Solanum lycopersicum: one gene and its partners. The protein of the gene in region 3 binds, or shares a complex with, the protein of the main gene of each other region. Links are inferred from orthologs where the notes say so. Each region holds a gene or a part of one and is shown on either strand. Other genes may lie near its edges. The genes, in order: serine/arginine-rich splicing factor SR30, splicing factor U2af small subunit B and suppressor of mec-8 and unc-52 protein homolog 2.

Region 1 (4,311 bases), on a different chromosome or scaffold from region 3:
GTTAACTTTCAAGGAGGCGAAAAATCATGAGAACACTATCCAAATCAGGCTAACCGCGATAGTCAGAGCGCCTAGAAAGTCCACTGCGACTCGCACTACTGTAACTACTGTGGCGATCATATGATGATGATCCTCGCCCACCATGTGCAAGTTCAACCTACAAAGATAATTATAAACAACAATATGGTAAAACGATCCGACTTCCCACATCACCACATCACCAAGAGAGGAGGGGAGGGTGTGAGACAACTAACTCGCAAGCGATGCCCGTCAAAGTCATAGCCATCACGCCCACGAATGGCATCATCAGCATCACGAGGATCTTCAAACTGGAAAATACAAAAGGAATGACACCAATTAGATCTATCGGAAATTCTGTAGCATAAAGAAACGCATGCAGAAAATTGAGCTATCTCCCAATACAATAAGGGATTGTTTGGTTTAGAGGCCACTTACGCCAGGATTAGTAATGTAAAGATTAAGAATACAAGGATTGCATAACGCAGATTATTTCTTGTTGGTATTTAGTTTGATCAGGTTACATATTAATAGTATATGTGTATAATTTTAAAACATATGTTTGCTTTTAAAAAAAAAGAACTATTATGAATGATATTCTTGCCATTTTTAAATCCATGTATTACATTACAGATACACATATTTTTATTTCTCATTCTATCCCACATAAAATGATTCCTGCATAACTCATGCATGTATTATTATAACGAAAACAAAAGGGAACAACTAGACAGTGTATTAAGTAATTCTTGCTTTTCTGTGGAGACTAAGATCAAACTCCAATCAAATATTGTGTAAACTAAAGTTGATTTTTATGTGGGGATATATCTCCAAAACCCCTAATAGAATGATTCCCAAGGATAAAACTAACATCTTAGTGATTCAACTCTTAGAAAAGAACTCACCTCTACGAACGCATAACCAGGTGGTCTAGGTGGAACTTTCAAATCAATTTCCACAATGGGACCATACTGCAGAAAATCACCGAGAAAATTCAGAAGGTAAGTGAATACACATCAAAAAAATCCATAACTTATAATATATCTCAAGGAAACCTACCTAGGAATCAACCAAAAGCAATTACATTACTTAACATAATGACAGAAAGACTTGAGCAATAAACTTAAAACATGTCTAATTTATATTGCATTGCGAAGTTGTGTGGCTTCTCTATTAGGAAAAGAACACCAAAAGTACCAAATTAGATGGCTTTCAGGAGCTACTTCGAAAACTGAAAGGCCGAATGAGTACTGTGACAATAATGGAAGCTCACTGAATAGGTCCGAACCATTGAAGAGATTAAACTTAAATGAGGAAAAAACAAGTATTCTCACACTCTAAAAAAGCAAAAGAAGATGATTACGCTTTCATTAGAACGTGATTTGGATAAAAGGAGCAACTTATTTCCCTCTGTGTTAATCAAATTCGTTCATCCTCCGATCCATCCAAAAATACAACTTCTCATGAAACCTATTGTAGCTTTTTTAGGTGGCATGAACACAAAAGGAGCAACAAATTGAAGGTAAATGTATAGATTAGTGATAGCGAGCACATGAAATTGGATACAATGTATTTTTCCAGCAACTAGTAATTTATCTAACTAACCTTGTAAAACAAATCTTCTACTTCTCTCTCCCGAATATCACCAGGAAGATTTCCAACGTAGATAGTCCGACTTAGACGACCCATATTGCCTGAAATCATTACCCAAAAAAATAAGCAGCTTGTTCAAACATTGGAAGTGGTAATGTGGACAATTCTTTTTAATTTATCTAGTAAAGTAAGATTTAAGTGGTAATGTAGACAGTCAAGAATGCAAATAAGAGAAGTTTATTTCCTTTTTCTTTTTTGGTTTGGAGGGAGGAGAGGCTTACCAAAGTTGACTGTAACTCATCCGTGAAAGACTTAAGGAATGGCCAAACTAAGGAAGGATAAAACAAAGAAGAAAAGTAAAGTAACATCGCAACAAAATACAAGAAGATAATCTTAAAACTATAACAGTTCTTGATTTGTAAAAGAAAAGCTTCTAAATAAAGAATAATGTTACAAACACCAAAATCAAAATGAAGTTTTATAGAATATAAGAATCCAAGTAGCAAAAACCATAAATTTATCAATCTAAATCATTTTTCTACATAAAGAATAAGTTACGAACACCAAAATCAAAATAGAATCCGAGTAGCAAAAACCATAAACTTATCAATCTAAATCAATTCTTAAAGATTATGCTCGTCAGCAATAGTAGTCACATCTAACATCAGATATACAAAGAAATAACTTCCGAAGATATTTTCCAACAGGTTCCATCAAAAGGGAGAAATAACTTCCGATCATTTATGACTCAACTCTCAAGTCATTTTTCTTGCACTTACTATCAACATTTATACCTAAAAGTTTCATCAGAACAATACCAAAATTTTTAATATTATGGATAGTTAATATCTAATACTAACTTTTAGGGAAAATAGTCATCACACCAACACATACGTTAGAAAATTATTTTCCATTAAAAAAAAAACGTGCCAAACACTCAAATAACCGCCGATTAATAGTACGGGGAGACGGAAATCAAGAAATTCAACGAAATTCTTTACTGATAGGTAATCCTTTATATATTTAAACTGTTCTTATTATAAGCTCTTGATTATGATCGCATAAAAAACAATAGAAAAACCCTAAAGATTCTTCAAGAACTAGGAAATCAAAAATTATGTGTGACATAGAAAACAGAATTTTGCATAGACAAAACAGAGAAGCAATGAAAAATAATAGCATGTTATTTTGACCTAATAAATTGTATTAGGAGAAGAAAAGGAGAAGCAGCTAACCTAGAAGATATACAACGACGACAGGTTGCGTAGAAAGCAAAAAATGGAAGAAGATTAGAGTTGATAAAATAAATAGAAATAGTTTTATATATAGGAGAAAAAAAGTCGCTATCGAACGTTACGTCTAGAAACTTTCCTAAATCTAAACACGTCGATACATGACATCTGTCCTAGGACACTTTTGAATATTTTAATGATAAAGTAACTCATAAGGAATAAGATAAGTGGGAAATAAAATATACTTTTCCAATGGTGGTTATTTTTTCAAAAACAAAATCCACTGCATATGAGAAATCAAATATGCAAAATACGTGTTTTAGGATTAGATTATAATTATTCTTCTCTCACCTATCTTTCGATTTTATAATAAATATAGGAGAGTAAATTTTTTTTTTCTGAATTAATAGTGTTCAATAATTTGTCAAGAATAGCATAGTAAATTTTCTTGTTGTTTTCAACTATTTGATAATTGATCCTTCTTCATGTGTCTTATCATTGTTATCTTAAGCAAGTCCTTAGAATTAAAGGTTAATATTTAATTAATATAATAGATATCATTAATCTACAAATATAAAATTAATTATTATTTAATGCCATAAGCAAACACCAGCATAGAAATTCTTAGAACCAGAGGCATATTTAGGAGGGGTTAGTGGGTTCACGTGAATTCATGTTCTTTATTCTTAAATCAAATATAGTAGTGTTATATTAGTTAAAAAGTACTTAATTATAGATGTGTAAATCTATATTTGAAACGTCATATAGTGTCGTGTGATGATTAGATGCACGTGAATTTAGAAATTTGAACCTTTTATTTATCTTGTTTTGTTTTTCTTTTTAAAAATTAGGTAAAGTCTCTTATCTAAGTGATTTGGATAGATAAAAAATAATTTTATATTTATATTTTTAAAACTTTAATAATTTTTTAATACTTAAAACATAAATACCAAACTAATCGAACTTTTTATTTTAGATTCACATTTTCTTAATAATACATTCATAATCTAGCTTAGAATATACGCATAATGATTGGTTAAGGGAGAGGATGGTGAACTCTTATAAAAGGATAAAAATATAGCATAAGCAAGTAATGAGAGCACAATATGATCAAACAACTCAATTCAAATGGTTACAAATAGTTTGAATAAAAACTAATAAATCTGACCATACAAGTCATTCATATCAATTTCTCCAATTGCCGCCCACTAATAAGAAACGGTTAGAACAAATGAACAAGAATAATAAAATTACAAGGAATACAAAATAATTTTTGCTTGGTTTAGAGACACGTTAATACGTTTCTTGAAGATAGTTAGAGTCTTTCCCATGAGCAATCGGAATAATAAATAACAACTCTATCTTTGGGATTCAACTAAGCCACAAAACAAGTAGCATTCGAAAATGTTGCTCGTCTACTCTTGAATTGGTGATTTCACCTTTTGATCAATGTCTTACCAGTATTTTC
Region 2 (3,258 bases), on a different chromosome or scaffold from region 3:
AAGGGAAAACACGACTGATCTTTTCGAAGAGATGGGTGGGGATAAAGCCTTTAACATAATACACTCTTCAACTGTCTAATTTGGGAAGTTGATTAAACACCATGAAGCATACAACATTTTTTAAAGATTTGGAAAGAAATAATGGTCTTAATAAAAGGAGTGTTTATAAAGAATTTTTCATCTTCTAAATACTTCAATTTATCATCTTGTTTGTGCTACCTCTTTTTCTTTGACGCACCGATTTATAGACAGTGGCGTAGCAACGGCCATCCAGGATGGACATCCTTTGTCGAAAAATTACATTATATATATATATATGCGTGTGTGAAATTCTATATATAAAAGATACATATTTTAAAGTTCTAACACTTTTGACAAGAGCTATGATTTTGTCACAGTGGTGATGAGTGTTCATGAAGTTTAAATTGTGTAATTAACCATACCTACATATTGTTTTACCTCTTGAAATTGCAATGTGAACTTGGACTATTTTGGAAAAGCATATGCAATTCATGCTGACAGTAGGTGACTAAATTTTGATCAAATCATTTAAATAGGTTTAATAAGGCATTATTAGAGAGTTTAACACTAGATCCTATTCAAATATAAGGAAATAAGGTAACATCACAGTCAGTTAAACTCAAACTTCAACCAAATATTGTCCAAACGCCAACATACACACAGTACAGACCGTACTGTTAGTTCGAAGACCAAAAACCAAGTAAAAGATAGAAGTACCTAAATAATATCATCAAGTTTCTTTTCTAGACGACTGAGCATTTAGGACCTTAGACTGGTCTCGTATAAGTTCACCGCGATTCATAATAGCAAACAGTAGTCTGAAGGATGCAAAACTAGCAGTTCCAAGTTCCGAAGTTGCATTACCCTAACCTAAAAGTAGACTAAAGGAATAAGAACTAGAACATTTGTCGTCTCCACCTGCAGATCGGTCATTCTTCTCTCGTCCCTGCAAATGCCTGTGAAATCAAACCTGTTGGTATATATCCTCTGATTTGGCTCCACAACCTGTATACATTTCCCGGTAAGCAGTAATAAAAATGAAGAAAAAGGCCAAACAACAGTTTGAAAGCTACTAGCCTGGATGAGCTCTGGTCATAAGAAACCTGACTGCACAAACAAGCACACAATGCATTTGCAAAAGATTATACAAGTAAACATCATGCAAGTCTCTTATTACAAAGCCCTTAAAATGCAAGACCTAAACCTAGATCCCGAAAAAGGACATTTCAGCCTGGATAACCTAGAAGAACAAATGGATGACCAAGAAATGTTATGACAAGCTAAGTTTATTATCACTTTTTATAATCCAATCCTAGCTGAACAATTATGGAATAGTTAATGCAGTGGAAAACCCTGTAACAGAAACGTTACACGACAGTGCTTTTTGGGAAGGCAACACTGCATGAGATGAGTTTATTATTACTTTTTTACATGATCCAATCCTACCTGACAATTATGGAATAGTTTATATGCAGTGGGAAAACCCTGTAACAGAAACGTTACACGACAATGCTTTTTGGGAGGCAACACTGCATGAGTCACTTTAAAAGGCAAATTAATGATGAGCATTCATTTGATGATAGCACATGTAGAAGTGGTATGATATTCAGAGTTCCTTTTTCTTTTCTTTTTTCGAAACTGGTATTATTACAGTGCAGAGAATTTACCACCAATTCGACAAGTTTTTGAAACTTTGTGACAACATATTTTTCTCCCAAACAATAACACAATAGTTTGTGAAATTTGAACAATGTCACATAGGATAAATGTTGAGGAATTTCACATCAAAACGAATAAGTCAAAGAAAAATGTATACACCCTATAACACTCAACAGAAGTTCAAAATTGTAAAACAAATTGAAATGACACAAACATTTAGGGCAGGTGGTTGAAGTTGTGTTCAAATAGCTATGTTTTTGGGATAAGAAGTTTGTGACAGTTGAAAATTGTGGGTGGAACTTCAAGTCTACAAATTCAATGATAATTTATGTTCAAACCACTATTTCAACTTGAAATAATAATTCAAAGGGTAGATGCAATAACAAACAACGAATGATGCACAAAAAGAAGCATATCTAAAGCCAGAACACCAAAAAAATTAAAGGTCGAAAACTTTTCAGATAGCTTATCAAAGAATTGAAAACCTGCACCCCCTGCAAGTAGAAAATGGGCATTAAGCTCTATTACACGGCAGGTGGCCCTCTCAGAAGACAATACATTAGGACAGAACAAAAGCATCAAAAATCATAAGGGATAAGGACACAAACCAGCACGATATATTCATTCATTATCCATATGCACTTTCTTGTCATTGTTGATCATAATATTGATCTTGGTTAGGAGCAGATCCATTCTCATTGCTTTCATTTTTGTAGTTACTGTCTGCATTAGCCCTGTTATCAAGTTCTGCCTGTTCTTTTTCCCGGTTCCACTGCTCAATTCTTGCGCGCCTCTCTTCGCTGCCATCCCTAACTGGACTTCGGTCTCTCCTGCCACCGGGACTCCTACTCCTACCCCTCCTGTGGTCAGGGCTTGTACTTCTGTTCCTCCTGCTCCGACTCTCATAATAATGGTCTCTTTCATCATGCTTTCTACTATGACTCCTGTGAGAGCGGTCTTCATAGCTGCGATGCCTATAAGGGCTTCGGCTCCTGCTTCTGCTGTGCCTTGTCCTATACCTTCCAAACAACTGACGTCGCAATTCCCTAATTACTCGGTATAAAAGACAAGTCAGTTACAACTGAATTTCTAAGACTACTGTTTATAAATGAATTGTTAATATTTTGCATAGAGTGGAAATAACCTGCTGATCTTTTTGAGGTGCATAAAGTTGCAATATCCACCGCGGTTGCAGACATTTTCCTCGTACTGTCGACAGGTGGCTTCACGAAAATCAGTCACAGGAGAGAAATCAACAATGATGGGCCTTCCTGCAGAGTTTATTACCAAAGAGAGAAAATAATCACATTATGAACTATTGGTGACAAACTGAACAAGACGGGCTATATGCTCCAATCAGGGTTGGAGACTCGGAGAGCTACAGCCACCATAAATTATGTAGTATATAGGTCAAAATCTATCATTCATTGATACACACTAAACATTGAACACCCTTTACACAACTAATACTTTAGCATGGTGGTAAAGGGTGATAAAAAACAAAATTTAGATTGCTGCCTCGGAACTTGCACAACATAAAATGAGCTTTTTGAAAAAATATGTGGGATGGGGACGGAA
Region 3 (4,174 bases):
AGGATATAGAAGTGCAGCTCCTTATCAATGAAGAGAAGAGATAACTCACCACCAACAAAAGAACAAGAAAAGGGCAAAAGGGACCCCCTCCCCCAGCTCTTCATTAATGTACAGGTGACAGAAGAAGATCCAAAAGCCCAGAAAAAAGGAAAAAGAAGCAAGGTATACTTAGTGTTGGAAACACATAATAAGGACTCCAGAGAACCAAAATGCTCTTTTTTAGTCTCCATGGAAATACAGAATCATACTATATCTAGTTATCAACTACCTTCACACTCAATTACACCCTGTGCCCCGGTTTCAAAGAAGAATAACCCACATTCTATCCCGGCTACAAAACATTCTATTGTACTTCTTTATAGGAAACCAGGCCCAAACTCACTTTCGTAAGCAATAATATTAATAGGCCTACCAAGGATGCAACAACACCAGTCGGAAATTAGAGAAAAGGTTCCCATAAAACAAACTGGATATATAAGAATCTACATCACATTGTGACTCTAATTACTTTCAGAAAATACAGTAAGGTTTAGAAGGCACGAACGCTAAGCACCTTTGCTATCTTTTTCCTTCTTCTTCTTTTTGAGAACTTTTCCTGATGATCCAAGACGGAGATAGGACATGATTTTAGCTATTCGGTCTAGAACAGAACCATCAACACTGACTGTAACCATTTCCTGAAAAATATAGATGAGATAACCCATTCAGATGGAAAATTCAGGAAGAAATTGCCTGACAGTAATGCAGTATGGAAAAGGGAAATACCTCGAGGACTGGACAGTCAGCTTTGCTTCTGTGTAGAGTTGTAGGAATATCATTGGAGTATCCACTATCCTGCAATATACACATCAACCATAAGTGAAGAAAAAGAGAGACCGTGAAAGAAAACATACACACAGTAACCGCAAGTGAACAAAATCTTCACATCTTCTTCACTATCCATATTCCATATGACACATCTGATCACCAAACATTTTAGTAGTAAAATAAATCAACTTCAACGATTCTAGCATCTAATTTCCGACAACACCCTTTCCACCTTCCTCCAAGAAAAAGAATGGCCTTCAGAAGGAAAAGACTATTCACCCCCGCCATACAAGCTAAACTCTAGCGTGACATCAACAGTTAACTACAGTTTTGCCCAAAAAAAAAAAGTATGATCCAATATAGAAATAGAAGCTTCTCAGCTACCTATCACAAGTACAAAATTTTGTTTACTATTACATCTCAAGTCTAAGCGCACTATAAGAGGACTCAACTAATGGTCTGTGAAATAATTCCTTTTCAGGCAAGTAGAACCTAGCATACACAACACATAAGAGCAGAGGAAGTATAAAAGGGAAACATACCATATTAAAAATAAAAGCCATCCGTCCAGGAAGAAACATTTCGTTGGTCTTTATAACAGTCTGAGGCTTGATTATCCATTGGTATACTGACTGAAACCCCAAACTTACTAGTCACTCTATTGAAACATAACTACACCAAGCAACAACTAGAAATATTTGAGACGAAATCAATTGAAAGAGTTAATGCACCTTGGCAGTTGCAGTACGGAATGACAATTGATGATCTTCCTTTACACCTCTATTAGCAAAAGGGATAAATAGAATAGTTAATCGAACAGTTTCCAGCAGCACTGCTTCTTAGACATGGTGTTCAAAAGAACAATTCACTAAATATGCTCATTACTTTGCATATACACAAAAAGATGTTAGCAGAGTGTCCCTAAATCAGGGTAATCTATGGAAGAACATATAAAGGGGCATCTACAAAAGAACTCCCTATCTAAAGCTACAGTCTTATCCAATGGGAGCTACACATGGATCAACTTTATTAGCTGAAAATTACTAACAGGCTCTTGGAGAGTCAGTTACTTATTCCTGGGGTTGAAGTAAATGAGTCATACATACAACTAAGCAATAAAGTAACCTAGTACTTACCTAGCTTTTCCTTCTAACGCCTCATCTCCAGTTTCTGGCTTCTTATCTATTTCACTTCTCACTTTGTGAAGCAAAGCATAATCTAACCCTTTAACCAAATGTGTATGTTCCACATCACCTAATTTACAATCAGCCAAAACAAGGATTGATTAGCTGAAGCCATATATCAAGAAAACTGCTGAACTGAAACTAAAAAATATTCTTGTACAACCACAGACTATACGAACCTCCAAGATACTTGCTCTTCTCAATAGATAATTTCTGAGCATCAGCAGAGCTGTAAAAGTTCAAAACAAGAAAGTTAGAACAAAATTAAACGAAGAAAAAGAGAAATGGGTGTTTCGTTTTTTTTTTTTTTACAGGAGATCAATATTCCCGGGAGGAGCAACAGCATGAAAACCACCAAATTCAGTGAGTTCATAATCAGGATTTTGATCTTCTCTCCTTTCTTTAGCTCTGTCTCTGTACTTTGGTAACTCCGGTTCTTCAACCTTCTCTTCTCTGTAACAAAAACAATAGAAAAATCCCCCATTTTTCAGCAAATTAAAGAAGGATCTATTGAGATTTACATAATCGAAGATGAAAGAGAGAAACAAACTTGTTGCGACGAACAATCTTTTCCTTGTGATTTCGCTTTGAAGAAGACATGATTGAGACCTTATTCCCAAAAATTCCAGATTAGGGTGAAACGAGCGAAGAAGACAATCAACCTCATATAAACATCCCCAAAAGACTAAAATAACCCTAACTTCCTACTTTTTGTTTCGATTTATCATTATTCGATTTGTGAAGATAATCAAATCAATAAGATATACACTATCAATTTTTAACTAATTGATTTTGACAATCTAATGAGCGCGTTTTTTATTTAATCGATAAGAAAATGGTGTTATATATATATATATATATATATATATATATATATATATATATAATGTCCATCTAATACACTTAGGGGTCGTTTGATAGAGTGTATAAGAATAATGCAAAATAGGGTGTATTAGTAATGCTTGCATTAGTTATGCAATTATTATTTTTTATACACTGTTTGGTTTGATGTATTAGAAAAAACAAATCTTGCATAATTTCTATTTAAAAAATGTATGTTTACAAAAATACCCTTTACACTTTATTTATTTTTACACTTTCTTTGCAACAAGGTTCTTTGTTAAAACATCAAAAAAGATTTCTTTGCTAAAACATTATTTATTCCTATTCTTCTTCTTTTTCTAATATAAAATTAAAAAATTGTTACTACATTAAAATAAGATTTAAAAAGAACAAGAAGAAGAAGATGTCAAACATCTTCACAATTTTGCCACCATACGTCTCAAATAGAGGAAGTAATGTCCTCTTATTTATATTTTTTTATTTGTTGATATATCAAACTCTTGTATATGATCCATTGTCTTTTTCTTAAAAAGGAAAAACGAAAAAGAGAAAGGCTGCATGGTCTTCTGGTAACTTTTTGTGACAATTCCTTTTTGATTACGATTACCATTGCACTTAAACTTTACAAAGGAGATTTTTCGAACAATTTATATAAAAAAAAAAACTAATTACATAAGGACTCTATTTGCTGGAAATCTGTCAAAACGCGGCTGGGTCGACGAACCTCGCGACGGATCGTCGTGGTCACGATGGACCGTCATGGACTCCGTCATCCCATACTTGTTCAATTTCTTCTGCTGCTCTCTTCATTATCCTCAACGACAGATATGACGGATCGTCACAAGCACAACGGTCCGTCGAGGGTCTCCGTTCCAAAACACTTAAACTCTTGGAATTTGGGTACTGGACTACTTCTCTGACCTTCATGACGAACTAGCAGGACGGATCGTTATGAATACGACGGTTCGTCACGCACTCCGTAACCTCACATTTGGTTAGATTTCCCCATCTTCCTTCAGCAGCTGCACCACGATGCCACCTACGGACTGTCGGAATCTGGACAAATGTGGTTCTATTGATTTTTTTTTTGATGAAGTAAATGTGGTTTTATTGATTCAATGTTATGTTATTTGTGGAGAATCTTCACCAATTATTCATCACCGTATTGCTGATGATGAATCTTCTAAGTAGTCACTGCACATGGCTTAAAGTCAGCAACCATTGATTTATTAAGCCTGATACTAGACTTTTGAAAAAATGAAGGGTGAAATAGGTTATATCCAAATTTTGACTTGCAAAGTAGTTGTAGAGCCTTCGATTGGAATTCTGTTCTTTGTATT

The links.
Region 1: suppressor of mec-8 and unc-52 protein homolog 2 (region 3) and serine/arginine-rich splicing factor SR30 share a complex: the UniProt entries of both Arabidopsis thaliana proteins name them as parts of the spliceosome. The link is inferred for Solanum lycopersicum from reciprocal best matches to the Arabidopsis thaliana genes SMU2 and SR30.
Region 2: suppressor of mec-8 and unc-52 protein homolog 2 (region 3) and splicing factor U2af small subunit B share a complex: the UniProt entries of both Arabidopsis thaliana proteins name them as parts of the spliceosome. The link is inferred for Solanum lycopersicum from reciprocal best matches to the Arabidopsis thaliana genes SMU2 and ATU2AF35A.

What each region holds. Positions count from the first base shown.
Region 1 is NC_090800.1:85,834,162-85,838,472, forward strand, and holds the start of serine/arginine-rich splicing factor SR30, read right to left. Parts: upstream 2,948-4,311; 5' UTR 2,847-2,947; intron 1,940-2,846; 5' UTR 1,893-1,939; intron 1,713-1,892; 5' UTR 1,708-1,712; coding exon 1,624-1,707; intron 990-1,623; coding exon 924-989; intron 330-923; coding exon 255-329; intron 158-254; coding exon 55-157; intron 1-54. UniProt on the Arabidopsis thaliana protein: Regulatory splicing factor that modulates alternative splicing and gene expression in specific cell types. Autoregulates its own expression. Probably involved in intron recognition and spliceosome assembly.
Region 2 is NC_090810.1:58,046,573-58,049,830, reverse strand, and holds the end of splicing factor U2af small subunit B, read right to left. Parts: intron 2,952-3,258; coding exon 2,825-2,951; intron 2,727-2,824; coding exon 2,330-2,726; 3' UTR 631-2,329; downstream 1-630. UniProt on the Arabidopsis thaliana protein: Necessary for the splicing of pre-mRNA. Probably active at the 3' splice sites.
Region 3 is NC_090806.1:9,685,321-9,689,494, reverse strand, and holds the start of suppressor of mec-8 and unc-52 protein homolog 2, read right to left. Parts: upstream 2,808-4,174; 5' UTR 2,592-2,807; coding exon 2,542-2,591; intron 2,445-2,541; coding exon 2,304-2,444; intron 2,221-2,303; coding exon 2,171-2,220; intron 2,062-2,170; coding exon 1,944-2,061; intron 1,588-1,943; coding exon 1,539-1,587; intron 1,440-1,538; coding exon 1,350-1,439; intron 835-1,349; coding exon 766-834; intron 678-765; coding exon 554-677; intron 1-553. UniProt on the Arabidopsis thaliana protein: Auxiliary spliceosomal protein involved in splicing of specific pre-mRNAs that affect multiple aspects of development.